4 linked regions of the Arabidopsis thaliana genome follow. The protein of the gene in region 4 binds, or shares a complex with, the protein of the main gene of each other region. Each region holds a gene or a part of one and is shown on either strand. Other genes may lie near its edges. The genes, in order: CSN5A, CSN5B, CSN6A and COP13.

The links.
Region 1: COP13 (region 4) and CSN5A share a complex: the UniProt entries of both Arabidopsis thaliana proteins name them as parts of the CSN complex.
Region 2: COP13 (region 4) and CSN5B share a complex: the UniProt entries of both Arabidopsis thaliana proteins name them as parts of the CSN complex.
Region 3: COP13 (region 4) and CSN6A share a complex: the UniProt entries of both Arabidopsis thaliana proteins name them as parts of the CSN complex.

What each region holds. Positions count from the first base shown.
Region 1 is NC_003070.9:8,107,624-8,115,220, forward strand, and holds CSN5A (COP9 signalosome 5A), read right to left. Parts: upstream 4,439-7,597; 5' UTR 4,273-4,438; coding exon 3,883-4,272; intron 3,756-3,882; coding exon 3,474-3,755; intron 3,388-3,473; coding exon 3,240-3,387; intron 3,137-3,239; coding exon 3,051-3,136; intron 2,525-3,050; coding exon 2,447-2,524; coding exon of another isoform or gene 2,375-2,446; exon of another isoform or gene 2,349-2,374; coding exon 2,259-2,348; 3' UTR 1,951-2,258; downstream 1-1,950. Other genes in the region: AT1G22910 (RNA-binding (RRM/RBD/RNP motifs) family protein), read left to right, coding at 1-326. UniProt on the Arabidopsis thaliana protein: Probable protease subunit of the COP9 signalosome complex (CSN), a complex involved in various cellular and developmental processes such as photomorphogenesis and auxin and jasmonate responses.
Region 2 is NC_003070.9:26,848,955-26,856,203, reverse strand, and holds CSN5B (COP9-signalosome 5B), read right to left. Parts: upstream 3,799-7,249; 5' UTR 3,645-3,798; coding exon 3,255-3,644; intron 3,145-3,254; coding exon 2,863-3,144; intron 2,792-2,862; coding exon 2,644-2,791; intron 2,540-2,643; coding exon 2,454-2,539; intron 2,212-2,453; coding exon 2,134-2,211; intron 2,042-2,133; coding exon 1,949-2,041; 3' UTR 1,785-1,948; downstream 1-1,784. Other genes in the region: AT1G71240 (chromosome-partitioning protein, putative (DUF639)), read right to left, coding at 1-117, 206-437, 523-715; AT1G71235 (uncharacterized protein), read right to left, coding at 982-1,181, 1,399-1,645; EBS1 (EMS-MUTAGENIZED BRI1 SUPPRESSOR 1), read right to left, coding at 4,474-4,668, 4,743-4,895, 5,072-5,186, 5,259-5,302, 5,382-5,522, 5,609-5,767, 5,898-6,000, 6,266-6,330 and 3 more. UniProt on the Arabidopsis thaliana protein: Probable protease subunit of the COP9 signalosome complex (CSN), a complex involved in various cellular and developmental processes such as photomorphogenesis and auxin and jasmonate responses.
Region 3 is NC_003076.8:22,781,258-22,788,566, forward strand, and holds CSN6A (COP9 signalosome subunit 6A), read right to left. Parts: upstream 4,349-7,309; 5' UTR 4,274-4,348; coding exon 3,976-4,273; intron 3,887-3,975; coding exon 3,798-3,886; intron 3,712-3,797; coding exon 3,618-3,711; intron 3,419-3,617; coding exon 3,357-3,418; intron 3,238-3,356; coding exon 3,159-3,237; intron 3,078-3,158; coding exon 2,985-3,077; intron 2,852-2,984; coding exon 2,751-2,851; intron 2,659-2,750; coding exon 2,603-2,658; intron 2,442-2,602; coding exon 2,360-2,441; 3' UTR 2,127-2,359; downstream 1-2,126. Other genes in the region: WRKY2 (WRKY DNA-binding protein 2), read left to right, coding at 41-996, 1,072-1,230, 1,337-1,880; PEX5 (peroxin 5), read left to right, coding at 5,398-5,517, 5,803-5,931, 6,028-6,160, 6,511-6,704, 7,167-7,309. UniProt on the Arabidopsis thaliana protein: Component of the COP9 signalosome complex (CSN), a complex involved in various cellular and developmental processes such as photomorphogenesis and auxin and jasmonate responses.
Region 4 is NC_003076.8:4,595,222-4,603,016, reverse strand, and holds COP13 (Proteasome component (PCI) domain protein), read right to left. Parts: upstream 5,150-7,795; 5' UTR 5,048-5,149; coding exon 4,851-5,047; intron 4,669-4,850; coding exon 4,553-4,668; intron 4,453-4,552; coding exon 4,206-4,452; intron 4,070-4,205; coding exon 4,012-4,069; intron 3,925-4,011; coding exon 3,835-3,924; intron 3,635-3,834; coding exon 3,569-3,634; intron 3,416-3,568; coding exon 3,326-3,415; intron 3,238-3,325; coding exon 3,079-3,237; coding exon of another isoform or gene 3,031-3,078; exon of another isoform or gene 2,987-3,030; coding exon 2,865-2,986; intron 2,684-2,864; coding exon 2,611-2,683; intron 2,528-2,610; coding exon 2,456-2,527; 3' UTR 2,182-2,455; downstream 1-2,181. Other genes in the region: AT5G14260 (Rubisco methyltransferase family protein), read right to left, coding at 50-134, 224-378, 593-685, 786-872, 953-1,158, 1,320-1,395, 1,513-1,878; AT5G14240 (Thioredoxin superfamily protein), read left to right, coding at 5,449-5,696, 5,980-6,123, 6,224-6,429, 6,622-6,794; AT5G14230 (ankyrin), read right to left, coding at 7,242-7,795. UniProt on the Arabidopsis thaliana protein: Component of the COP9 signalosome complex (CSN), a complex involved in various cellular and developmental processes such as photomorphogenesis and auxin and jasmonate responses.

The sequences.
Region 1 (7,597 bases), on a different chromosome or scaffold from region 4:
TTTCCGCTTCAACCACCTCTTATTCCTTACCGTTAAAGAAGCTTAGAGTCTTTGGTAGCTATCAAGCTTCATATCATCATCTTCTTCTTCTCAGGTCAAGAGCCATTCTATGGTTTAAAGGATGCTCCTGGCTAATCTCAGCACTTAGTTTCTCTCCCTCTGCTCTAAAAGCTACCCCATTTTATGGAATTTGGAGGTGGCTTTTTAAGCAGATCCCAATGGGATCTCCTGTTTCAGATGGTGATCATGTCGTATTTGTCATCTCTCACCTTCTTGCAATTGCATCTTCTCGAGAGAATGGGTTTCTCTTTGAGAGATATTGCTAATGGAGCATCATCATCATCAATCACTCATGTGCCAATCTCAAGCTGATGCATGTATCAGCTTAATTAGTTTATGTTGTTTTAGCCTAAGGATGGCTAATCAACAAGACAAAGAAAATGTCTGTTAGGATAATGTAAAAAAAAAATCAAGCACCAAAACAATTTTCTGTTTGAAAGACTGAAAAAACGATTGCATAATTAAGCAAAATGATCAGCACAAAACCCTGCAAGCCTTTTTGTTGCATCAACATGTTTAGTATCTTAATTCTTAAAGACTTAGTCACTTAAGTCCTCAAGTCTCAGATTATGTTTCTTAAATAAAAATGCATTACTCAAATGTCTCTGTTTACTGTTACTAGTGGTTAAAAACTTTGGGGAGTAACATCTCATAACCTCCTAGAATATACTATGCAACACATACAACTTCATGCTTTTCAGTTTTTGAATCTAGTATGTTCATAAGGATACTGGAAATATTCATACTGAACACTGTACTCACATCTCCTCATGTTCTCATGTTTCCCAATGTATGCTTCTCAGTCCAGTTTGACACCTTCTAGGGCTGAAAACATTAAGACGTGGTTGTGTGCTAGAGTCAACATCTTGCGAGAAAACATGTTGTAGCCCATCCATGTCACCTCTCAAGTCTGTCCTCTCATTATCTTGTAAGAAAACACTAGTGGAAAGAAACTCCCTTAATGAAAGCTTAATTACATACAATCTGCTGCTCCCATCAAACCATTGAGGTTGATGAAAATCGAGTCTAAGACACTACCCCCAAACACTGCTTCATGCCTTCCTCAATTGTATCATTTTAAAAATGTCTTATATCATATATTTCCTGGTGTCAAGCATGATGATATAGATGGAGTAGAGGAGTAGAGATAAGATCCTTGTTCAGGGCAGAGTAACAGTTGTGTCTGTGCAAATTAACAACCTAAGCTTGTGTTAACCAAGAAGCTTGAAACATGGACTAGAGAATATCTAAAATCCAAATGCATTTCGAGAAAATGCTAAAAGAACAAAAGTAGTGAAACAAATCACAATATATCAAAACTAATCTCCAGAATAAATTTTCATAATATCTTCTTTGATCATTTGGATCTTCTAGATCCCCAGAAAAGATAGAATGGCTTAAGCTTCGAACTCTCGGACCTTCTTGTTCTACCCAACTATACATTAGACAAGTATTAGGCCGTAAATAGGCCCATTTAGGGATACGCGAAGGCCCAAAAAGTCTTTGACATCATCATGTGGTTTCTTATTCTTGTTTTCCAGTAATGCTGGTTAAGTGAGGATGTCATTATTGATTAAGCCCCACGCAGCTTCTATCAATTACTACTACCTTACTCTTAATCCTACTCAAGTAACTTCACACGTTATCTCTTCCTACCGACTGTTTTCTCGGCCTGATGTTCGTTTAGTAGTCAGTTTGTTCGAATGCAGAAATCTTAATCCGCTTTTAGTACCCTTAAATCGTGGTCTTGTTGTAATGACAATTTCGGTTTTAGAATAGAATTTGTTCGCTTTTAACAAAAGAAATGCTGTTCAAACATAAATGTGAAAAACAACATCCTGATGAATTTCATGTGATGAAGAACAGAAAGAAAAGAGGGCCTAGAATCATTGTTGCTTCAATCGTTGGAGAACATTTGTATGCTTGTGTCAATTTTTTGCACATGGTTCCGTAACAGGCACATGATTACTGTGACATCACGTGTGTATCTGGAATTTGGTTTTTAATACCACTAAATCAAGATAGTCAAACGCAAAAACATAATGATCGATTTATGTTAATGTCATTTAATAACCCAAAGATCTTTGTCTGAAGCAGATACTACACTAGAGATATAGGGAACAATGGGCATTGCCTCATAAACCGGGTCAAACCGATAGTCAATTTCCGCAGCCAAAAAACAAAAGAATAGACCAACTTCACGATGTAATCATGGGCTCTGGATCTGATGAGTCGTCAGCAGACTTCTTGGACTGACGAGCGGAATTGAACAAGATGTCTTTGATAACCTGCACATTGATGGATGAAAGACTTTTTAAGTCAATTTCATGGATCCATTAACCGCAAGGGGAAATAGGATCAGCATTGTCAGATTGTATTTACTCACCTGTGACATTAGTCCATGGACCTGCTCGACAGTTATCTTTGCACTATCCCGAGTTATCTTCGCGAGTTGAGGCTCATCCTGAAAGTGGTCCACAACACATATACTTAGGTAATGTAATCTCCAAAACAAATGTTTTTATGTAAAGAAGATTAAAACAATATCAAAATGAGTCACACAGCCAGAGATAACAGAACTCTAGGAAGCAGACATAGACTATTGGCAACAACTCGTTGACAAATTGATACATCAAAGTCTCCCTGTTTTACTAGTTCAAACTTTAATAGCTCTGTATATTTTTGACTAAACATACACTCAATTGTGAAATTTCAAACCCAGAAAAGGTAAAACATAGTGTTTTGCAGGTAGAGTTTCTATTAGTCAATATCCAGTCAACATAATGCCTAAGAATAAAAAGTTCAAATTTAATCCAAGTTGCTAGATGTTGATAGTAGCAGTTAATTAGCCAAATGAAAAGTTTCTACACAGGAACAAGCTTGAAAAGTGGCAAGTGTATGAGCTCAAGATCATGGTCCAGTATCTCAGACAGTCAATAAACATTGAGAACATAACAAATAATTTTGCTAAAGCAACCATTTAGACAAACCTCTTTCCTCCTTTGGTGACCGGCTGGCGCAATTCCTCCATACCGGGAGTTAGCGAGCTGACTCTCCGCTTGCTCGAGCTTCTCAGCTTCATCATGTAAACAATTAAATGGTAAGAAAAGAGGATATATCAAACTACGACCTGGATGAAAAGTAAATTAACTTGCTCTTTCATATATACAAGAATTTACCCAAGTCTGATATTTGCCCGGCAACATAGTCTCCATTGCCCAACAGTGGGGAAGAAGAAAGAGTGTTCACCCAGTACTTGTTCCAAAGGAGATCCAGAAGGTGACTATCGAGAGATGACTTGAAATAAGTGATGTCCAATGAGTAGTACTGCCACATACAAAAAAAATGAATCATAAGATCGATGATTAAAACCCTCCCAAGTTTTAAAATCGATAAATAAGAATTATACATACCTGTTTGCAATGTACACCAAAGTCCTCAATCTTGTTAAGAGGGATAGTCTGATACTCAGAAACATGATCATCCGAGATCTTATGTCCCTCTGGATATGTTCTGAATGCCCCAATCTCAACCTTACCAGCCGAAACAGTCCTTGTTGGATCAATAACAACAGCTAAGAATGGCTCCTGATACTGTTGGTTAAGCATCTGTGTCGAAACATCAATACCCGAGAGCCAACATCCATACCCAGGGTGAGAGTGATACCATCCAACAACGTTCTCCAACCTCCCAGCCTATAGTTCAAAGTTACAGTCATAACCAATCAATCAAACACTCGCAAAATCTTGCATAAAGGATCCAAGTAGCAACTAGCTAATTAAACAAGGAGCTACAGCGAGAGATGAATAAGAGATATCTTACCAGCTTGCTGGTCTGAGAGTATTCAACCATATACTCATAGGCATCAGACTGAGCATTAACCCTAGTCTCAGTACCTTCAACAGGCAAAGCAAAAGCATCCATAACGATGATTGTATCACCCTCGGTTTTACCCTGCATAAGACCCATGATCTCGATTGTGCCACCGGAGCGAGCGTGAACCACCATCTTGAGAAGAGCAAGGGCTGAGATGTGAACGCGCTTGAAGTAGTTAGGATCGGAGGCCCATGGCTTCTCCTGCTGGATTTTGGCTTGTGAAGCGTCGTCGTAGTGGAATATACTGTCGGAGGCTGAATCGGTTGGTTCCACTGGGAGAATGTTGTTCTCTAGCTCCCATGTCTTCCTCGCGATGGCTGACGAGGAACCTTCCATTGAAATCGACTTCGAAGAGTAGAATAAATCTAGGGTTTTGCTTAATCGCGAGAATTGATTTGAGGGTTTGAGTCAGAAAGAAAGAAGAAGGCAAACAAATAGAGAGAGATCTTTGGGTTCTTGGGTTAAACCGGTTTGCGAGAACAAAACTCAAAATGGATTTACTTAATATGGGATTTGGGGACTAATGCTAATCCAAAACATTAACCATATAAAATTTTTATGGAAATTTAATATTGTACATTTTTTATTAAATATTTTTCCCTTTTTATTTTTAGTTTGTTTAACTTTTATAGAAATCAATGTTGGCAAATCAAAGGATAAATTCCAGTCATTGTATCAACCAATTGGTATAGAAATCAATGTTGGCAACACATAGATTTGGCATACAATATCTTAAATCACAAAGCGTAAAAGAAGAGTAATGCATCTCATGCATATTTCTTGAGATATCCACACATGCATAATTTCACCAATGTAGTAAGCTTATTTTGATAGCATGTTCAACTTATATATTGTGTGAATTATGCTTGACTTTATGGCATAGACGTTGATCTTTAGCTATAAAGTCAAGCTTTTGTCTTCTCATTCTATCATCGATCAAAGCATCTAAATCACTTTCCTCTCTTTTCTTCTCTTGTTTGTGTCAGAACTCAGAGAGTATAACATAAGGTTAGCTTTCGATCAGTTTTTTATTTTGAGTGTTGCGAATCAAAAGAAAAATTAGTTTTAGCATTAGACCTAAATATTTGTACAAGGACACAGTGTAATATTTGTAAAGCAATTAACATAGAACAAATAATGAAACACAACAATACTATAAAGATGTTTTGAGTTAAGGAGAGAGATCATCAAAGTGCTTGCTTAAATTTCTACCGTGTTGTTGTGTTTCATTACTTGCTTAAATGCTTAATGATAACTGCTTTAAAAATATTAGATTGTCTTCATGTACCAACATTCAGGTCCTACATCCAAAATATTATACAAGACAAAGAATTCACTACAATATAAATACGCTAAAATTTAAGAGCAGCCTCAATTATATGCATATACTAAGATTATGGCCGCCCCTGCTATGCTGATACAAAATAAATGCCAAATTACATCATATATCAAAATATTTTGGCAAAATAAAACATAATTGCCTTTAGTTGGATTTTGAAAAAAAAAATGGAAGATCTTCTGAGTTTGTGAGAAAGAAGAGCAATAAAGAAGAAGTTAATGCATCTGTTTGACTGTTACAATTACTTATAAAAAAAAAAGTGGAAGAAAGTTTAGAGGAGAGGATACATTTTGAGATCATGGGGAAGGAGTGGTTGCTAACAAAGTGGTAATAGAATTAGATTACGTGAAAGTATAAAAGTAAAATTTGAAAGTTTTGTGACATGTGGTAAATGTTGCTGTTTTTGAAAGTGTTGTCCCATTTGAAAGTTTTGTCACATTCGGTAAAATTTGAAAGTTTTGTTACATGCAGTTTTGAAAGTTTTGTCACATTCGGTAAAATTTGAAAGTTTTGTTACATGCAGTTTTTGTTAAAATGACGGTTAATTTAGAGGGGGGTGGGAGGGGGAGGGTAAGTAGTTATATGATTTTGATGATTTTGTAGAAGTGTATTCAATCTAGTATTTTAAGTGATTTGTGTAAAATTTATCAATCATGGATTTTAAAAACTCTATTAAAATCAAGTGTTATTGAACTAACGATTTTAAAATTTACTTTTAAATCAACTGTTATTGAAAACAAATCTCATGATTGTAGATGGAATTTGAAAAGATTGTACAATTAATCACATCAACTTTCTTAAAATTATAGAAATCTTTTCAAATTCTATCTAAAACCATGAGATTTGAATTTGTGTATTTGTAACTAAAGAAGTTTTCTCAAATCTTTCAAGATGAATAAGAATCAACTCCACAAACTGTTTTCAATAACAATTGATTTTAAAGTTAATTTTTAAATTATTAGTTTAATAACATTGGATTTCATTAAAGTTTTTAAAATCTATAATTAAATAACATAAAGTTTGTAAATTTTACACAAATAATTTAAACTACTAGATTAAATACACATCCTTTAGTATATATAGATTTGAGAAAGTGGATAACATTTTTTTTGTTGATGTCTAGCTTGAAACAATTCATACGCCCTCAGTTTCTATATCTTTATAAACTTGGTACAATTGATGACAAAAGTCCACAAAATAAGGGGTCATTGGAATTAAAGCGTTACAATCTTTATACCACGTGGTTGCAATATAAGGGTGACCAAGGTATTACTCAAAGGCTCAAAACTCGAATCTTTGAATAGTGACAAGTGGAATAACCTTTAAAGCCAAGTTGCTAAATATTTTTTCTTCCTTCTTCGATAAGTATTTAAATTTTTGTTATGTTCTCGTCCATAAATTGAGTGAATGATATTAGATAAGAGGTCCAAATCATGTATAAAATTTTAGAAAGCATTTAATCTCTCTCTTACATACCTATCAGAAATCGAATATGACCACTTTACTTCTTTTTTTCGTCGACCTTGACGATAAACGATTTATGACTACCTCTTTATCTTAATGATCTCAAACTCGCTTTAGGTCTTTCAACAATTATATGGCGTATCTTACTCATTTATAATGCAACAAATGTCAATTAAAAATCAACTTCAAATTACTATGGAATATCTCAAGGAAACTTATTGTAGAAATTTGGTGGAACTAGTAATCAAACTTGTTCATATAAATGCATTTGGCCTTTTGGGTTCGTTGTTGGTCTAGAGTTTAACGGTTTAGAGATTGTTTTAAGATTTTATTTCCCATGTACAATGAAAGTCTAATACAAATAAGTACTATAAACTAAGCGTTATGATCAGTAGATTATAATTTATATCCTACTATATTATTTGGGAAGTACATTTTAAATGTAACCTTAATTTTTGTAAGTAATTACATAGGTATGCCATTAGAAATAAAATTTTAAAGAGTAAATTAATTTATCTCTTTAAGGATTAAAAAGTCAAATACTAATTTAATTAATTAAATTTAATTAAAAAATGAAATATATTATTAATTTCCAAAAATAATAACCAATCAAAATCAACATATAAGATTTGATATCTAAATTTTAATTAATTTAATTTAATTAGAAAAACAAAATACATTATTAATTTCCAAAAAGTAACCAGTTAAAATCAACAAATTATGTTTGATATCTAAATTATCATATTAATTTTTTATTAATTATTATAGTTCACTTCTCATCGTTATATGATTCTATTTTTGCGGAAAAATAATATCATCATTATAAAAAAATAATTAGAGTTTTTTTGCATATGCCAT
Region 2 (7,249 bases), on a different chromosome or scaffold from region 4:
GATAAAAACCTGAAACAGCAATACTCCACCAAGTACCGGGCATCAGTAGATAAAGCTGGAGAAACAATTGTTTCAAATATATCCTGCATTTTCTTCCCAGTGATTCCATTCATCCTGCTTATAAAGGGTCAAAGAAAAATGAATACTTTAACAACAACCACAAAGTGAAGATGATTCAATGATCCTGTGGTTTAGATTAGCTCACCTACTAAACTGTTCAATGGAGATAATAGCATCAAAAGAAAGAAACCCTTTTGGTGTATCACTTCGAACAGTTTGTTCAACTGTAAGAAGTTCCTCCAAGTCTTCAAAATCTTGTTGATCCTCAAGATCAATCTTTTTGAGACTCTGACTCTTTTTCTTCAATGGAGATGTTACATCACTCAGAATTTTCTGTGATTTCGACACCCACTGACTAAATCGTTCTTGTACAACATCTGTCATATAAGAACACCAACATAACTCAGCAGCTGTTACAGAGAACTTCAAGAACCAGAATTCGAAGAGGAAGAAGGGTCTTACTTGTGTCGATATCGTTCAATTTCCATTTCTTCTGAGCAACAATTCGGAGTCTTGGCTTTCGATTAGAAGCACAATTTCTGGAGAAAGAGCAGCGTCGATGAACACGAACTCCATCACAACGGAAACCAATAGGAAAATCTGGAGTTGCAGAAGAAAGTTTCAATCTTTTCAATGCTCCGACTCTCTGCGCCATTTCTGTAGCTGAAAAAAAAAAAGCTTTGGAGAGAAAGAGGCGTACAATAGCAAAACACCACCCTTTTTTTTTGTTGGTCTTACTAAATTATTGCTTTCTAGTTTCATCTTTTGTGTCTTTATTCTCAAATAAATATCAAACCATGTCGACGATTCCTTAACACAATTTTTTCTGTATTATTCCAATTTAATTCATTCCCATTTGCCTACAAATTTGTGTCACACAACAGAAAATAAAAGGTAAACATCAAATTAAGGTCCATAATCTTATTTAGAGGAATACTCGGAAACATGTCCATATGAAGATCTTTTGTCAGTTCTCTTGCTCTCAGAACAAGGTGGAGTTTTCCTCTTATTCGAATGCGAATCATCATCAACATCATCATCAAAAAGGCTGAGATCCTCCACCCCAAGAAGCAAGGGTTTGCGATATTCCATAGTGAAAAAGGCTACAGAGTCACTTTTCACTGTAAACCTATATAGCTCCCATGTTGAACCATTGTTCATAGCAAAACGTGGTATAAATTTATCACGTACATAGTTCCTTCGATGCCGTTCTTTAACCAGTTTCCAAACCCCTTGGTCGGGCACGAACAGCGCGAGAAACAGCCATATGCTATGTTTCTCGCTACATGTCAAATTTGTAGGAAACATATCCGTGCGGAGCTATAGACAATAACTGACTGTTTTCTTGAAGGTTTGGTATCCCCGGACTTCCACGAAGCTCCGGATAACTAAGGCTTTCTAAGATTCTCCGCAATACTACGTCTTCAAGTGTATAAGTTTGCCATGTTGTGTGAAGTGCGTTCTTGATAAGCTTGTTGAAGATGGTCAGGTTGGCAGTACATAGCTCCTTGTGGGCGTCGTCGTCGACAGTCCCATAAGGAACACTTTTCATCAACAAACAAAGACAGAGAAAGATGATTGCCATTGTTAGCCATGTTTTAGTACCACCTATTCACGGACAACGTGAGTGCAGAGAAGGAAAGAGAGAGGGGATAGAGTTGGAAAAGATCACTAGGTTTCTGATTTCCATAAATACAATTTTTGTTTAAGGGCTTAAGATTATTCCTTTAACCCCGACGAATCGAATGGGCTTAAAAACATTTCTTTAACCAAAATCTTCTTCTGTATTATTCTCATTAGCATTATAATTCTTTACACAACAGAAAATAAATGAAAGGACAACAAATGATGGGTCAATCCAAAACTAGAAACCAAAAGAAGAGCAACTTCAATATGTAATCATAGGGTCTGGATCCGACGAGTCAGTGGGAGATTTGTTGTTGGACTGACGCATTGAGTTGAATAATTCATCTTTTATGACCTACAAGTACAACAATGATGGATTTTGAGTCTGTGAAATACACGAACCTTAAGGGAGATATGTCACCATTTCGTTTCAATATTATTACTCACCTGCGACATTAGTCCATGGACCTGTTCCACAGTTATCTTTGCGCTATCCCGAGTTATCTTAGTTAGTTGAGACTCATCCTGAAAGTGATTTAGAACACACGTCAAATGAGATCTTTAACAAGCAACACCCATTAACATTCTCGAAAGTTATATATCTGTACAACCTTCAACAACACTTTCATTTCAACTAAACAGAACACCTCCAGGTCCCAATAACCAAAACATTTGAAGATATATCCTCTTAGTAGCTAGATGTTTACAGAGGCACTTAACTAGCCACCGTAATCGCAATTAAAATTTGATGAACCACTAGGACATACCTCTTTTTTCTTATGAAGGGATGATGGCACAACTCCTCCAAAGCGAGACTGAACCAGATGACTCTCGGCTTGCTCAAGCTTCTCAGCTTCATTGGTAAAATTACGAAAACGATTATATAACACATTACTTGACTGTGACTTGAGAAAAAAAAGTAAGAGTGAATGATTTAGGCCATATCCAAGAGTTTACCTAAGTCTGATATTTGTCCAGCAACATAGTCTCCATTACCCAGCAGTGGAGAAGAAGAAAGAGTGTTCACCCAGTACTTGTTCCATAGTAGATCCAGAAGGTGAGAATCAAGAGATGACTTGAAATAAGTGACATCTAATGAATAGTACTGCCAAAACCAAAAGCCAAACATAAGAATCATGTTGGGACCTTGCACCGAGAAAAATCAAGAAAATGTACCTGTTTGCAGTGAACACCAAAGTCCTCAATCTTATTTAAAGGAATAGTTTGATACTCAGAAACAGGTTCATCTGGAGGCTTATATCCTTTAGAGTATGTTCTGAAAGCACCAATCTCAACCTTACCAGCTGAAACAGTCCTTGTGGGATCAATAACAACAGCTAAAAATGGCTCCTGATGCTGTTGGTTAAGCCTCTGCGTAGAAACATCAATACCGGAGAGCCAGCATCCATATCCAGGGTGAGAGTGATACCATCCAACAACATTCTCCAGCCGCCCCGCCTTATAAAGGTCAAGTTATTATAACCATAATCAATCAAACTGTTCTGACTTATATACAAACTTTCTAAAGAAAAAAATCAAAACTTTGAAGTTTCTTGAATCTCACTTACGAGCTTGTTGGTCTGTGAATACTCAACCATGTACTCATAAGCATCATCCTGAGCATTAACCCTTGTCTCAGTACCTTCCACTGGTAAAGCAAAAGCATCCATAACAATGATAGTATCACCATCGGTCTTACCTTGCATAAGACCCATTATTTCAATTGTACCACCAGAGCGAGCGTGAACCACCATCTTAAGAAGAGCGAGCGCTGAGATCTTGACTCGTTTAAAGTAGTGAGGATCATTCTCCCACGGTTTCTCTTGCTGGAACCTAGTCTGTGAAGTATCGTCGTAGTAGAAGATGTTGTCGGAGGTTGAATCAGGTGAGTCTACTGTTAGAATGCTGTTCTCTAGTTCCCATGTCTTCCTTGCTATCGTCGACGACGAACCCTCCATTCTTTTTCGAATTAGGAATTCAGTTGCAGAAATCTAGGGTTTCATACGGAATCGATGGAGTGTGATCGATCTGTCTGCTGAAGAATTGAAAACTGTGTCAAAAATGTTACTTCGGGGATTGACTTATATATAAGAAGAGAAAAGTGGTGAAAATTAATTCCTCTGGATTCTTCTCTAATTTAGAAATAAAATTTAAAATCCTTTTAGTTTGTTTTTTTTTTTTTTTTTTTGACGGTATTAAAATCTTTTAATTGAATAACACAAAATTTTAAAATCTATTAAACATGATTTACAAAGATATAAACTCCAATAACACTAAATTTTAAAATTGAATTTAAAATCATTAATTAAATAACAGTGTATTAGTGTTGGATTTCTTTCTATTAAAATCCATTAATAAATAACGTCCCCTTGTAAAACCGTAGATTTCTTCCCTCTTCTAAAATAATTTATTGAATTACTTCAGCTTTTCTATCAGAGTGTCAGACCCTTTGCTAAAAGAACACGTATTGCTTTTTATACAGACACTGACACGTCAGTTTTCCGGTTCGGTTTTTTTACTGGTTTGTCGGTTTGGTTTGATTTGAGATTTTGGACGGACGAGTTTACAAATACGTTATGAGTGACTATGTTTGTAATTGATTCAAAATCATATTATACTGATATTCTTATTCTCCTGCAATCTGTTGACTTTATCTTCTGTCTAATTTATGTGAGAGATGTCTAAGAAACTGTAGCTACAAAACTAGAAACCTTATCTAGCAAATGCAAAATAGCCATGATTGTCTAATTTATCTTCTCCTCTTTTGAAACTTCAGGAGCATTGAATTTACAGTTCTGCTTTAGATTCCAAGTCTTGTTCTGTATCTTCAGAGATGTCATTTGATGGAAGAGGATTAGGCTTGTCTGTAGCAGGAGCAGCTACTGGCTCGTTGAGTTCCACATCTTCACCCAAGATTTTTGCTGTGAATTTTCGTGCTTCGAGATCAAGATCGGGCCATTCGGTTACGATTCTTCGGGCACCCTGCAGAAGAACACCGCATTATAACAAACAACGCTTTGTGAGTGTTGTAGATATGAGGAAAGCCATCATTTTACCTGAAGCTTTGGTTCCTTTGTCATGGGATTATTGCAAAGATCGATTGTTCTGGCCTTGGCTTTTGTGGCGTTTCCACACCAGGATTCACACCACAACCACTCTTGGGGAAGTGAAAATATAGGAACAGTATGCTGAGCATAATTAGGAAGATCCTGAAACAAAATAATGACATGCCATCAATATGTTTGAACCTGGAACTCTAAAGATTCAGAGCATGGTGTATGGTAAGAGTCAAATGCAAAAGCCTTTCAAATAAAGTAAAACGATAGTGTGACCACCAAAGAAAGGTTACAGCCCTAAGTATAGAGAACCATATTATACAACTTGCCTGATCTAGGTTGGACAAACTGTTTGGATCCTTGCTAAGCGTCTCATAGAATACTCTTAGATTATCTCCTGCCGCTGTCTCTCGGAACTTAACCAAGTCAACAACGTATAGAGCACTACAGATAGAACAAGGCACATTAAGAATGGGAAAAGCAACAACTTACTGAGGTTCAAGTAGGTTTTTTTACCTGATATGGTATGGCCTACCACGTAAATGTTCTTTCCAGAAACCCTGTTCAAAGCAATTGAGAATGTAAGAGTATGGAAACCAAAACTACCTCTACAAGCAAAACAAAAAGATTAATGTTTACCTGTTTCCAAAATTTATAGCCATCCATTTCCCTGTTGTTGTCACAAAAAGGAGTATACGCGAGAGGTCTTCCTTTAATATCCATATCATACAGTTCTCCCATGTCTGTCCTTATAATTTGATCTGCGTCGACAAATATAACCTACAGAACACATGTCGAATACCTTATAGTGACATCTTCCAAGCATCAAAATCGCAAGAAAGAAATGAAAATATGATCATCTGTACCTTTTCCAATGAGAGAGGAAATATGACATCAAGGAAAAGAATTTTGTAGGCCCAAATAATTCGTTGCTTTTCTTTCTGTTTATGCAACCAGGACGGCCATTTGTATGTAATCAGCTCATACTCAAAGTTGTATTCTTGTGCCATATGTGGAATCACATCCTGCAAGATTAGAATGCGATACACATTAAGTTAATGTGGCTACAAGATAAGTTCACATCTAGAGATAAGAAGACATATATAGATACAAACACAAAAGGCATATGTGGAAGCAAAGAAACAAGGAGCCAACCTTAAATTGAGGAGAGAGATAATTCTTAATAAACCAGAATTTTACAGGACGATTGGTGTTCTTCAGGACACTGAGAATCATAATCTTAAGGAAACGCTCGTATCTGTCATAAGCAGTGCCTCAGCGTCAGAAATGAATTGATACCAGCAAATCATATATTAAACTTTTTTTGTTCACATAATACACTTAAAACTCTTATGCACACGAATATCCAATCTACATATAGACGTAGAAATACCAAATATGATTTTCTTTTCATATGATTGATGCACTTAAAGTAATTCAGATTTTCTAAAATGGTTCAACGCACGTAATTATATTAAGTCAATGTGTGCGGTCAAGCAGGTTAGAAAAATGATAGCGCTTACAAATGCCCTGAAGCAATGGAGAATATATTTATCGTTTTCCCTTGTCGCCCACCCTTCTCATGCTCCTGAAAAGATGATAAATAGAAATAACTTGATTAAAATTGTTGCAAAGGTAGCCCACATGTTAGAATCATGCAGAATTGAGATGCAACAGGTTTACAACAATCATAAAAGTTAGTCCATATTACAAAAGCTACTCACTTTGTCAGGACCTCCCTTCATTGATTGTTGACGACCACCAACAAAACCAGACGCCCATTTCAAGAAATTTGAGTTCCAGCTTCCCTGCTAAAACAAAAGAGCGTCATTAGAGAATATATAACCAACACTTTTAAGGACCAATAGTTTTATTGTAAATCTTCTATTCGAGTAAAGTAGCACTCACTTCCTTGTTTTGTTGCACAGCATCATCACCGTCTGAAGGAACTAGCAACTTTTCATGCTCCTTACCCTTTCTCTTAACTACTTCTAGATGAACAACTTTACCACGCAGATCATCGATAGTTATACGTTTCAGCGAGGATTGATCTTGACTCCCATCATTTCCTCCTTTCAAAGCGTATAGCTCCGAACTTCTACCCGGAGCAAGTTGCAAATACCAAACCCCTGGGGATACTTTCATCTGCCAATAACCCAAATTGGCCATTACAAGGGTATCAACCAAATGCGGTCTATTTTTGGTTCCCAGAATCAGCTGAAGGCCACGAGGAGCCTCATGATCTTTTTCCGCGCAATGACCTGTGCAAGGGTTATGTTAATAATAACATGAACAAATCCATCCACCCTTGAAGAATAAGTTTAGAAAAGCTAACCTGTAAGAACAAGAGATTCAACCTCAAAAACTGCCTGCAGTGTAGTGGTATCTCCTAGATTCTCAAGCAATATATTATCAAGATCATGACTGGACAAAGACATCCAGCAGAGAGGAAACAAAAAAGCAGAAGGTCAGGCATAAGCAAAAATAAGTGAACTAAACAAGCAAAT
Region 3 (7,309 bases), about 18 Mb from region 4:
TATGGAGCTATTTTTTCTGAATATCTCGGTGACCTTGCAGGCTCAACCTTCTCCAACTACCGGGAAATTTCCATTTCTTCCTGGTGTTAATGGTAATGCATTGTCTTCTGAGAAAGCGAAAGACGAGTTCTTTGATGATATTGGAGCATCATTCAGCTTCCATCCTGTTTCAAGATCATCTTCCTCTTTCTTCCAAGGCACAACAGAGATGATGTCAGTTGATTATGGTAACTACAACAATAGATCTTCTTCTCATCAATCCGCAGAAGAAGTAAAACCTGGCTCTGAAAACATAGAAAGCTCCAATCTTTATGGGATTGAAACTGACAATCAAAACGGGCAGAACAAGACATCTGATGTCACTACAAACACCAGTCTTGAAACCGTGGATCATCAAGAGGAAGAAGAAGAGCAAAGACGCGGTGATTCGATGGCTGGTGGTGCGCCTGCAGAGGATGGATATAACTGGAGGAAATACGGACAAAAGTTGGTCAAAGGAAGTGAGTATCCGCGAAGCTATTACAAGTGCACAAACCCGAATTGTCAGGTGAAGAAGAAAGTTGAGAGATCAAGGGAAGGTCACATCACAGAGATTATATACAAAGGAGCTCATAATCATCTTAAACCTCCACCTAATCGCCGCTCAGGGATGCAAGTAGATGGAACTGAACAAGTTGAACAACAACAACAACAGAGAGATTCTGCTGCAACGTGGGTTAGTTGTAATAACACTCAACAACAAGGTGGAAGCAATGAGAACAATGTCGAAGAGGGATCTACGAGATTCGAGTATGGAAACCAATCTGGATCAATTCAAGCTCAAACCGGAGGTCAATACGAGTCAGGTGATCCTGTGGTTGTGGTTGATGCTTCTTCAACATTCTCTAATGATGAAGATGAAGATGATCGAGGGACACATGGAAGTGTTTCTTTGGGTTACGATGGAGGAGGAGGAGGTGGGGGAGGAGAAGGAGATGAATCAGAGTCGAAAAGAAGGTTTGTTTTAGCAATCGAAACACCGAATCCTCGATGACTCAGTAAACGAGACTCAAAAACTTTTTGATTTTACAGGAAACTAGAAGCTTTTGCAGCAGAGATGAGTGGATCAACAAGAGCCATACGTGAGCCAAGAGTTGTTGTGCAGACAACGAGTGATGTTGACATTCTTGATGATGGTTATCGCTGGCGAAAATATGGTCAGAAAGTTGTCAAAGGCAATCCAAATCCAAGGTTCTTTATAATCCCCTCCTCTGTTTTGGTCTGGTTCTGTTTATATGTTTATCGGCAATCACAAGACCAATTCTTTTTTTATAACGTTTTCATAATGTTTTTCTAGGAGTTATTACAAATGCACAGCTCCAGGATGTACAGTGAGGAAACATGTTGAAAGAGCTTCTCATGATCTCAAATCCGTTATAACAACTTACGAAGGCAAACATAACCATGACGTCCCCGCTGCACGCAACAGCAGCCACGGAGGCGGTGGTGATAGTGGTAACGGTAACAGCGGCGGTTCAGCCGCAGTTTCTCACCATTACCACAACGGTCATCACTCAGAGCCGCCACGTGGGAGATTCGACAGACAAGTCACAACTAACAATCAGTCTCCTTTTAGCCGTCCCTTTAGCTTTCAGCCACATTTGGGTCCTCCTTCTGGTTTCTCCTTCGGTTTAGGACAAACCGGTTTGGTTAATCTTTCAATGCCTGGTTTAGCGTATGGTCAAGGGAAAATGCCGGGTTTGCCTCACCCGTATATGACACAACCGGTTGGGATGAGTGAAGCAATGATGCAGAGAGGGATGGAACCAAAGGTTGAACCGGTTTCAGATTCAGGACAATCGGTATATAACCAGATCATGAGTAGATTACCTCAGATTTGAAATTTACTCTTCTTCTTCTTCTTCTGCATTTGGTCACTCCTTATAATAACTTTTAATTTCTGCTTCTTCTTCTTCTTTCATTTATTGGTTTCAAACTTTGGGGAAGGTAAAGGCTGTTTTATTGTTCATTCCTTGGTTTTGTCTTCTTTTTTACTGGTTCTTTATCTTATATTGAAATCAACAAAGAAGAAAAAAGTGAGTGTTGTGTAGCAATACTGCAATTGCTAACTGGAGACTGATGTGGATGTAACTAGAGAGACTGATAGAATCAAACCTTAAAATCTTTTTACTAACAATAGAAACTTGTTCAAGATCAAACAAGAGCTTTGATAGATAAGCAGATGTTCTTATAGATATAGAAACAATGAAGAGGATAAAGTCTTGCCGTCTGAGTTATAGATTCTCACAGAGGCAATGTTAAAAATGGTTTCAGGAACCAAGAGAAGATCTTTAGAACTAGAATCGCTGGAAAGGATCTTTTACATGAATGCAGTTCTTCCACCTCTTCGAGTGTTTCTGTCATATGCGGTGTTGAATTTGTCGACCATCTCGTTCATGTTGCTGCAGATTGAGCAAACAAAATTATTAACTGATATAACAGAATCCACCAGCCCGGTGAAAACCGTATCTTTCACAGTTCCTAAAGAACCACTAGTTAAAGAGCATTCGCTAGCCTATATACTTGCTTTCAAATACTTTAGAATGTTGCATTAGGTACAAACCTGGAACAATTTGTAATCATCGCTAGGTAAGTTATTAGTAATTTGTCGTTGTACTCCTGCAAAAAGAAAAAATGCCAGCATAAGTTGCGAAATATCTCAGACAATAAGCTACACTGAAAAGAATCAAGTGCAGATCTAACTAACTCACCATCAAGAAATTATCTTGAAATCTCTCTGATTCCATGGCAGGCAATCTTCTTAGCAGGCTAGATACTTGTCTCAGAACTGAGTTGTCACAAGATTTATCACCTACACACATAAATGAGTTGGCAGATAAATTATTACACTTACACAACTTTGACTATCTTCAGCTAGAATCCTGGACTGGTAAACATGAAACCACGGTGATAAGAATCGGAACTTGGGAAAGAACAGAATATACCTTTCTGCATTGCAGCAAGATTTTGGTAAAGCACTCTGATTCTGCTATTAAGCATCTTGATGGCACTATGTATACCAGTAAGATGAGCAGCCACTGCATATGAACGAATAATCAGCCAAAAACAGTAAGACTCAGGAAGTGGAGTATGATATGTATTAGTGACATAAGGCTCACACTGGGTTGCTGCTGAGCCTCCGTCAGATGGTTTAAGATGTGCAACATGATCAACTGATATCCGTTCAGCTTCAACTGTCTACATTGTATAACACCTCAAAATCTTAGTCAATGTACACTTTCATAACATAGATTAAATTGCAGAATGTTTGACAAAAAAAAAAAAAATTATTTGCAGAATCAAACTTAAGCACAGACCTCGATTGTGTAGCTTGTATGAGCGAAAATTAGCTGCGGGATTCCATCAATGACATGCAATTCTTCAAGTAATGAAGATCAATCAATGAAACAAAGAGAAAAGTTAGGATCTTGTAAAACAATCTGACCTAAATCTGGAAGTCAATAAAGATAAAGACTTGGGAAGATATCTAGAAACTCTGAACTACGCATATACCTATACTAACATGCTAACATATCAGAATGTACCCACAGAACCATATGACATTATAAGAAGCATACCACTTTCATAAATAGTCACTGGAAGATCCTTCTGTGTGTGATTGATAGCAGGGTTTAAAAGCACATAAACAGGAGATTCATTGATATCCATCAACTGTCACCAAGAGCAGACACAAAAACCACACTTTTAGAGACCAAATCTCAATTATACAAAAATACTAGAGAGAGCATTGGACTCACAGCTTTATGGATATGCATATCAGATTCCTCAGCATCACTTCCCGTAGAGTACCATCCCAGAATATAGAAATCAGGGAACACCTTCTTATCTAATAAACAATAAAACCAGATAAAAGTTCAAACTTTAATTTACGATTGCATCAATAGTTGAGAATAAAAAGAGTGAGCTTTAGCTTACAGAGCTCTTGCTTCTTCTCGAGGAAAGATCTATCAAGGGTTTGAGTAGAAGGATCATATAAAAGCTCGAAACTGTTGAATATCTCAACAGTACGACCTCTCTGGACACCGATCACACATCCGTAAACCCTAGGGTTTTGCTGGAACATTGCTTCGCCGTTGTTTGAGCCATGGCCGCTTGCGCAGATTGAAGCAGGAGGATTGAGCTGAGTTTTGACCCTAGTGTAGTGATCCGATATGTTGACGATTACCAAAGGATGTAGCTTGAAGGTTAAACCGCTTGATGACGAAGGTGCCATTGTCGATCTCTCTCTCCTTTGATGAATTCTTTGGTTTTTGGGTTTTTAGTTTTTTTATGAAGATTTTTTTTATTTAAATCAATGTGGATTCGGATCCTAGATCGGGTCTTCCGGGTCAACTATATGGATATTAGTTTTTTCTGTATGGGCCGAGCGTAGGACTTATATATGCGGTTGGGCCTCATGACTTGTTTTTCCAATTACATTTTTTCATTTTGGAAACTAATTATATTAATTAACAAACGAAAATAAGATAAACCAAACGATTGAGACTCATAAAATCAGATATCTGAAGTTGACAAAAAATGTACTAGAAATTTGAAAACAGACAACATTCATCAAATTTTTCAATATGAAAGTTCAATAGTTCAGTGGTTAGACTAAAGGTTATAATTTTTTCCACAAAATGTTTGATTTCTAGTGTGTAAATTCTTGCAAGTTAATGAAAGGAAAAAAAAATCTAGAGATGCCTAGCATATTGTAACTATTGTTGATGTAGATGAATTTTTTTTTTTTTTTTAGTTATTGATGAAATTAGTGAAGTCATGTTGGTCGTCCAAATGTGTGATATGAGTACAAGAGTAGAATCTACCTTCGTTTGTAACGCATTGCACAATCAATCAAGAAATATAACTAAACCCAGCAAAAATCAAGCAATATAATTTATTTATCTTTGGTATGATCAAGCAAATATAATTCAACACTAATAGGAAACTACAAAATTCAAAAGTGGCAGCAAATCGGACAAAAAGATAAAACATATCTTGATAAAGAAAGATAAAAAAAAACTATATTCACAACAATTCATTTTTAATTACGGATACTGTAAAAAACGGTTTTTTCACAAAAATAAATAACTAAACAAAAATGTGTTGGTGAGCCTAAAAATGTGTGTGGTGTGGATAATATATAAATATTAATTACCAAAATACTATCAAAAAATTTAATAATTTCTTACGAAGCTGTGACCAAACACAACAAACAAAAAAAACACCGCCACGAGACGAGCCAAACTAAAGATTAGGATTTGGGAGGTTGATGATCAATTCCGGACAACGGAGGAAACCATACTGATAGATTCAACGACGGTGATTGCGGCGGAGGAGTAGAAACCCGTTGGAAACATGGCGATGAGAGACCTTGTTAACGGCGGAGCCGCTTGTGCCGTTCCTGGTTCGTCTTCTTCTTCTAATCCTCTCGGAGCTCTCACCAACGCTTTACTTGGTTCGTCTTCCAAAACCCAGGTTAGCTTCCTGATTCCTTTTTGATCGAAACAGTGTTGACATTTGAAGTCTCCTGATTCCATTCTTCGCCTTTTCCTTGGTTCTCCTGGAACTAAGAAGTCGAATTAGATCTCATTTTTCGTTGGGTTTTGTTATTTGCTTGCCAAGTTTCGATTTTTCTTTCCGTAGTGTTAGGGTTTTAGACGTTCTTCGATTATGTCAAGTGATTTGGCTGACAATTGTTTAAAGGTTTAAAATTTCCTGAGAATTTGAAGAAATGTTGATGATTGGTGATTTGTTGTGCAGGAAAGGCTCAAGGAGATACCTAATGCAAACCGGTCAGGTCCTCGGCCACAATTTTACTCTGAAGACCAACAGATAAGGTCACTTCCTGGTTCTGAGTTAGATCAGCCACTTCTGCAACCGGGTGCTCAGGTTAATGTTGTGGAAAGTTTTGGTTTTACAATGGTAGTATTGACTCTGATTATCTAGCCTCTGTGATGGCTGATGGGTTTGCAATTTTTACATTAGGGGTCAGAGTTCTTCCGTGGTTTTCGCTCTGTTGATCAGAATGGTTTGGGTGCAGCTTGGGATGAGGTACAGCAAGGTGGACCTATGCCTCCAATGGGACCTATGTTTGAGCCAGTTCAGCCTACATTTGAAGGTTTGTGATTTGATCTATACCACTTTTATTTAATCCCGGATACAAAACGGTTAGATGTAGTGGTTTTGATATTGAATAAAAGGTAGTATATATTTTCACATATTCATCTTGAATCGAGAAGTACATAACATTATTTTTGTAGGAAGAGAAGTTAACACTGAAAGTGTTAGTTAGTAATTTAGTATAGCGACATGAAATAAATAGTGTGGTCATTTCTTTCCATGAGTCCTATTTCTCCTGAATGACACGTTGAATATTCATAGCTCTGTCTTAGTTATATAGCCTAATGTCGAGTGAGGCATTTTTCGTTTGCTTGCTTGATTAGTTTTTCCATTGCTTATATATTGCAGGACCCCCACAGAGAGTTTTATCAAACTTTCTGCATTCATTTGTTGAGAGTAGCCGTGGTGGTATTCCATTTCGTCCAGCACCTGTTCCAGTTCTAGGATTGTCACAAAGTGACAAACAATGTATACGTGATCGTAGTAGCATAATGGCCCGGCATTTTTTTGCCGATAGGGGAGAGGAATTTATTAATTCTCAGGTTTGCCATTTATCTGATAGTGTTCTGTAGCTGCAACATTGTGTTATATGCTTTCAACTTAGGTTTTAAGGGTCGAGTATATACTTAATATTTTGGTGTTATATCATTCATGCCCATTGCCCTTTTGAAATCAAGATCTATTCAATTATATAACGAAGTGTAATTACAAGAAAGTTCAGGTCCACTCTCCTTCATCTTGAGTTTAAATCAAAATGTAACATTTTGGAATGCAACGAGGTAGCACTGTCACTGTCATATATCACAATCATCTGTGGGTCAGGGCTTTTGTTTGGGAATTATAGCTGTTGTTTTACTTGGTAATTGTTCCTATCTAGTATGGATTTCTCGAGACCATGCCAGCTGTGCAGTATAGTTAAGCCTTTTGTTTGTTGCCGATGGCCTAAGCCGTTTTCTCTTCTCCATGTCGTTGGCTGAATATTTTGTTCGGCATTGTTTTTCAAGGTAAACGCATTATTGTCATCTTTAGATATTGATGATGGGATACAAGCTCGAGGTCATGTTCCCGGGAGATTTCGGGAGCTAGATGATTACTGGAATGAGTCTCAAGCTGTTGTGAAACCTAATTTACATCCTGCTGACAATTG
Region 4 (7,795 bases):
TGAACACTACACTAGTGTTTACAGTAACGCAACAAAGTTTTGTAATTACCTCAACTATTACTCTATCATAAGGGTTATCCTCATCAACAAATCCATAGTTCAGAAGCAATTTCGCATTTGGTTGTGGCCCACACCTTCAAATAAAGGAGGAAATGCAAAAGTATGAAAAATAGATCAGAATGAAAAAGCTAGCTGTAGGAAGCAATTTGGCTTACAGACGCACCAGACAACTATAGGATCCCCGGCCTTATATGGCCTATCTACCACGAGTTCAACAGCACCATCAACAGCAGTAAGCATTGCCTTGCAGTTGGAACAATAGGCCAACAAGGGAGGACCAAGAGGAACCAAAGCAAACCGACGAGCCAAACCGACATTCTGAGTACAAGAAGAAGCATAACAATCTAAATTAGAAGAAGCAACAAGCACCACCTGACTACTTGCTTAAATGATGAGCTGCAAGCTAAACTTTAGATTCAGCGATAGAGTAATAGAGGTAAGACCATATTATTATATTTTACTCTAACTATTCTTTCAAATACAGAAAGACATTCAAGTTGTGAAAAGTAAACCCCAAAAGAATGAAAATTACTTGTAAATGCACCACACATGACTGAATGGCAACAAATGCCTGTTTGAAAATCTCAAATGAAAAAGCTTCAGTTGGTATGTCAAATGGGTATTGCTGCAAAACACAAATAAAATGGTGTAAGTCCGAGGCCGATGTTTAGCATTCCATATATTAAAATGACAAGAAGAAGCCGAAATCGTAGGTAGCCAAACACCTGAAACAAAGATCCAGCCATGAACCAGACAGTGTCAAGCTCATTGTATTCTCTTTTGATCCCTTCAGCCCTCTCAAGAACTTCGGCCTGAACCATGTTAAAGAAGTTAACCACTAAGAACCCACTATACTAGTTCATCACACGTCCGGCATATACTAACGCAATACCTTGGTAGGACTACCAGTTAGGTAATCTAACTCAGCCTCTGACCACAGCAAAGGGGATTCCGCATCTAACTGACCTCTTCCTCTTTGACGATCAAGTTCTCTTATATAGGGATACCATACTGATTTCTTTCCTTGTTTCTTCTCATACATCAAATACAAAGCTAGACAAGCCAGTTCGGATAATTTGTTCGTCGTCAACAGTTCAGCTGTGTGATAAAGAGAGTTTATATGGCTTCAGACAAGAATCAAAACACCCGTAATCCCACCCTTATCTAAGAGAAATCACAAAGTCTAATCCAAATATTATAGTGCATAACTGATGAAGTAGCTTTATGGAATAGGAAACATAATAGAGAATGTCTCATACCAATAGTCTCGTTTCCCAAAACTCTTTCCAGAGTAACCACCAGAGAATCAGGAACTGAAAACGCCACATCACCCTTCTGTAAAAGACAGGTAATTAGGAAAAATTTACCATCAAAACCCGGAAATTGATACTTGGAATACCCTATGGAACTGTGTATAAGCAAATAAAACTGTTGAAATGCTAAGTCAACCACCTGAAGATCCTCACTAGCAGCAACATAATGTATAGGTTTATGCTTCTGATCATGAGCTGGTCTCTCCTTGAGAATAACCTTGCAAGGTGGCAACCCATTCTTATCCATCCAAAACTTCAAATCCTCGGAGTCATCTCCTTCCTTCTTGCTCGATACTTTGCTCTGCCTCTCGTCTTCCTTTGGTGAACCGCTCGCGACTAAAGTATCTGAGCTCGAAACGCACAAGCTTCTTAGATGAACCGATCGCGATGAAGAGATCAATTTATTGTTCCTCCACCGAGGAAGTGAAGAAACCCTAGAAAGTGGGAAAGAACGAATTGGAAGAGAGACGCATTTCGTATGGAAACATGTGATAACCCCTTCCATCGGAATTATCAATTCCAAAATTCCGATTATGTCGAAACGTAAAGATTCTCCGGCGACGATTCTGAGGATTTTGCTCCGTTCTTCTTTTGCGTTTTCTCAGATTATTTTTTTCATTGAGGATAAGAGAGGGAAATGGAGAAATCAGGTTGAAAACGAAATGGGGAAGATGCGACATAAAAAATGAGTAAAGAAATAAAAATCTACGTGGCGCTTAGCGAGAATGGGCCTGAAACTAGCCCACCACAACAAGGAGTCTATCAGATTCCCCAAACGACACGCAGTTAAAAACGAGTTTGATACGACGCCGTTGAGACTTCTCTAACCCTTGCAAATGATAAAACGCTCGCGTAAGTTAGCACGAGAGATACACGCGCAAGGGGAAAATTTTTTAAGTAAAAGGGAAATAAAAGATTTGAGGGTCCATAATGGTCTTCTCTACTTGTTGGCAATTGTGACAAAAATATGAAACTTTTTAAACCAACAAAAATGAACAAAGAAATCAAAAGTAACATTCTCAAGATTCACACTACGGTTGTCTTTGAGCCAAGTTTTGTTGGTGCTTCTCGACTTTCGCTGTTTACATGGAGAACTTCTGAGGAACAGTATCGAAATCGTCTCCAAAGTCGTACCTTTGTCTTTCCCTTCCTACCTGAAAAAAAGTAGTCAAACGGCTTAGTCAGAGAAACATGGGTTTCCAGGACAGAAGACTAATGGAATATGGTATTAAATTACCTTTCCCAAGTATAAAGGGTCACATGATAAGCTCTCATCCATGGCTAAGAGATTCTTCGACAGACCAATAGTCCTGAAATTTTTATCAAAACACATAACTTGTTTGATGCTACTACTTTCCTTTGGCAAAACAGTCATCTCCATATCAACTTGATTCCAAGTGCTAATTATGCACTCCTTATTACGAGTTTCAACATTCAAGCAATGTTTCCCAAAAAAAAACCATATCAAAACACTTAGTTCTGTAGACATACCTTTGTATAACAGAATCCATGATCTCAATCATCTCACTAGATTTGTACTGCTCAGGGTCCTCCAAGAATCTGACCATCCCGTCTTTCTGGTTGATAAGGGCATGTATCTGACCATCCTGGATCTGCAGGTTTGTAAAGAAAAAAATGATATTGTCCAACATACCAGTTAAACTAATAAAGCTAGCTTCCAAAAATCAAGTGTGGGACACAATACCATCTGAAGCACATGCATTTCCGCCTCCTTAGCATTACCAAGTTGGACCATGTTGGCTATATCTTGAAGCGACAGGGTCAAGTACTTCTGTGTCAATCTCAGAATGTTACGCTTGTAAAGGGATGACACTGCTTGCTTAACTAATCCAAGGTTCTTATCCTGAAAGAGCATTTCGCCCAAGTTATGGAAGGGGATGAATATTTAATATTGGTACAGAAACTATGGTAAATGTTTAGAGGCAATTTACCTCTTCAAATTCTGCATTCCTGGCCACAACCAATGCCTCTAGTTCACCAATCTTCCCGTCGTTGTAACAATTACCCAGTTCAATGTAAGGCTGAGAAAAGGGTGAACGATAAAATCATAAGCCTGAAAATAGATTTAGCTGGTATGGAGTACAAAACAACTGAAATCTTTGGACTGAAGTGAAAAAGGGACCAGACTCCATTCAAACATGAAAAATACAACTAATGATCGGGTTCAAACTTACTCCGGTATAGTTCTTGAAGCTCCTCTGTGCTGCTGTAGAAGCACACTTGGGGAGAGTGTTAGTAAACTGCACAAGTAAAATCAAACAAGATTATAAGAAAAACATCATAAGATTAACCAATGCTTGAAATTAAAATCAGACACAGGATGTAATTGTGAAACCAACATTTCTCAAAAACATACAGTTGATTCAGACTCGTGCAATATGCTCCCATGACCGAAAACTAGATAAACAAAGAAAGTAAAATATAAAGAACACAGCCTTACCTGCCCATTGTGAATGAGAGACACCAATATGTACTTTTTGTACGCCTCAAGAGCTATGGCATTGACTTGATGCATAGGAGCAGTCACAACCTGATACAAGTACTTAGGTTGAGTTAAAACTAAAACGAAAGTCCTTAATGTATAAAAAGCACGTAAGAAAAAATAAAAATGCCTTACATTGTAAAGAAGCTCTAATGCTTTCTGAAATCTCTTCAGTCCAATACAAATCATTCCCCTATCAAAAGTCCAGGTAATCAAGGACCAGAATAAGAAAATACTATAAAACAAACCCAACAGGGATGGATTTAATGTGTTTACACATCTATTGATCAAAGGAAAAAAACAGATAGCAATGAGGAAAAATTGCTTACCCATAATAGCTATAGAGAAAAAAGTCTCTTGGCTGGTCAATCTCCACGATATCATCACTAAGAATGGAGAAACCAGATTTGTACGATTTCGCCTGCAAACAGAGTTGAAGAACATCTGGATGCAATGCAGTCAAACGCTTGGAGGAGACCTGAAGCTTCTGAACAGCGTTTAACAGTGGCCCTACTCCTCGCAACGGATCTCCCAGTGCTATAACATGGTCTTTCAATATCTTACAAAGAGATACAACTGCAAAATCAATATAATAACATCATCCATCTCCCCAAAGAAAAAAGAAAAGAAAACACATTAAGACAAGATAAGCTCTCATTAAGTGTCAGTAAATTACATTTATAGCTCGCCAAACGAATCTGCCCAGCATCACAAGAATTGATGAACCGTGCAATTATCGGTATCTCATAAGCAGCTTTCTCCTTCGACACTGGACCACAGGTAAGAACCTCACTGTAACAATCAAACCATACAAAAAACTCAAAGATCAGAAATCGAATAACATAGACAATTCTCCTTGTTAAACTTCGACCTAATCACACACATCAAGTTCCAATAACCAAAATCATCAATCAGCCTCAAAGTATACACAAACTAGTAACAAAAACCTAATCTACCAATAGGTTAAAACTCACAGGAAATACAGGTAACCGAGAGAGTGCTTCGAGGCGTCGAGCTGGTCAAGAGTAGAGAAATTAACACCTGGTTCGGCTCGGAGCGAGTCTTGAGCTCCTCTCAAAAGATCGTGAAGTGCAGATAAATCCTCTGGACTCCCCGATAAACCTTGGATTGACGTTATCACAGCCTCCACCGAGTTCACAGCTCCGATCATCTTCGATACTAAGACGAAAACACAAAAACCCTAATCGATCGCCCTTTTTCTCCCTCTCAAAATCTTTTGCTAAACTGTTTGTTTAATTATCTCTGGATCTTCTCCATAAAAATACATGCTCTCATAATATATATACGAACCCTCCGAACGGTTAAGAGTCTAATACATTACTCTAGAATAATAAACCAATATCTAACCGGCTTTTAAACCAAATATTCCCGGTTCGAAATGTACCAGATGGTAATTGTCGGTTTAGCCAGACCAATTTCGGGGATGGCCTTTTATCATTCGTCTTTCCAGAGAAAGAACGAGATTGCGATCACAGAGTGTCAAAGCAATCTGCTTTTTCTCCTCTCAGATTCAAAGGTTCTCTTTGAAGCTTCGTAGGTGGTTATACTTTGATGGCGGATTATCATTTCGTGTATAAGGACATTGAAGGAGCGTCAACTCAATGGGATGATATCCAGCGGAAATTGGGGAATCTACCGGAGAAGGCTCCGGCTTTCAAACCTCCGGCGTATACTCCGGCGGAAGACGAGTCTTCAGCTCCTAAGGATCAGGCATGGTTTGATAAGAAGACAGAGGAGGAGCTTGAGGATCTTGAGGACGACAAAGATCTCGACGATGATCGCTTTCTCGAAGAATACAGGTTCGTAGATCGAATCGAACATTCTGATTTTTGTATTTACAATCTTAACTTTCCCTGGAGAATCCTTGCCTTGGTGGATTGTGAATTCAATTTTCTCGGATCTGTTGCCATGTAGCTAGGGAATGCAATTATCAAGCTCTGGTTTTTCTCGATTCGTTTGTGTTTTGGATATGAATGCAATTGAGGGTAGTATCTTATTTGAGATGTTGATGAATAGGCTAAACATAATTGTGCAACACACTTCATGATTCACAGGCACTAATGTGTTTTGATGCTTTCATAGGAAGAAGAGGTTGTCTGAGCTAAGAGAGGCTGCTAAAGTTAAAAGATATGGAACAGTGACTCCCATCTCGGGCTCTGATTTCGTGAGGGAGGTTACGCAAGCTTCTGCTGAAGATTGGGTTGTTGTATGTCTCTATAAAGATGGGTATGTTTTTTCAAGTATTCGTGAACTCTTGTTGAGCCATTCTTTACTACATGCTTGAAACACTATTAACTCATGTTTATTTCTTGTTGTTCTCTGATAGTGTTGCAGAATGTAGTTTGCTATTGGGTTGTCTAGACGAATTGGGTAGTAGATACCCAGCAACAAAGTTCGTTAAGATAATATCTACTGATTGTATTCCGAACTACCCTGATTGCAATCTTCCTACCTTGCTGGTGTACCACCATGGCGCCATCAAAGGAACTCATGTAGGCTTAAAGAGCTTTGGCCGTAGGTGCACCCCAGAGAGTAAGTTTGAATGAACCCTTGTTTGTCTGATGTAATCTGTGCTTATTTGTGTTTGATGATTATGTCATGTCTCATCTCTAGCCTTTGTCTGATCTGAGACCTGATGTGACCACATTGGCGATTGTATCATGCTTTGAGCAGATTGGTCTTAGGCACATGTCTAACATACTTGCAACTGATTTGGTTTTTCAGGTGTAGCCTTACTTCTGTGTCAATCAGAGCCAGTTCTTAACGATGGCAAAGGAGGAGACGATGACTCCTCGAGGGAAGCTGTGATGGCTGGAGTTCGAAGACAGTTCATAGAACGAGTGGTGAAGGACCACGAAGATAAGGATAACGATGATGGTGGTTACAATAGTGATTAGAACTTCAAAGCTTCTCTGTTTATCTCTGTTGGTTATTGCTTGTTGAGTTGGTGACTGGTAAACAAAAGTGCTGACTTCTTGTGTGATGTAATGTTTTTTAAACATTTTGTAACTTTTGTTCTTTTGAAAGAGACAGGAACTTCATGTTGTTTTTTGATATCCAGGTATCACATGCCGAATTTTAGTGCTGGATCTAAGCCTGTGAATCCATGTAAGTTTAGAATAGTCTTTGTTTTGGACAAAGTAATAATCAAATTTGGAGAATCTCAAATCAACTGAGATGTTTTAGTTTTCATTCATGTGCAACTCGAACTACTTCACAGTTCACAAATATACTGCAGATACCAAACCCAAGAACTATAAACATCCCCAACACAATAGAAGCACACTACCTTCAAAATGAAGCTCCCTTTCTCAAAACTTCTTTATATACATACATAAACAACACTAATTCTGAGTCTGAGTTCTTCCACAAATTGTCTCTCTGGTCACAAGTCGTATTCCCCTCACCCACATCTCTGCACACACCAACCCACCTTCACACACAAAATGAACCTCCTTGTTTTCCGTAGTCACTACCCGGAAAATCCCTTCCTCCTCCGCTCCATCGCCTTTCCCCTTACGGTTCTTCCTGAACCGCTGGCTCATCCCGATCTCTACTTCCTTGCACACCACAGTCCTCTTCCGTGACTTTCCCCAACTTAGTACTCCACTTGATTCCAACATTCTCAATCCTTTCCCATGCTTCTTTCCTTTCCCTCCCTTGGTGTGTTTCATCACACTGCTTCCTTCTATCACAAACCTCCGAGACAACTCATTACGGATCACCTTCTCCGCATCACCAGTCGCGAGATCCAGCAGCTTTTCCCCTCTTCCGTTCTTAGCATTGCAGTTTGCGCCACAGGAGATTAGGTATTCACACATATGTCCATGGCCCTCTCTGGCTGCAAGCATGAGCGGAGTGTAGCCATCTCCATCCGGGATGTCTAGACTGTATCCTT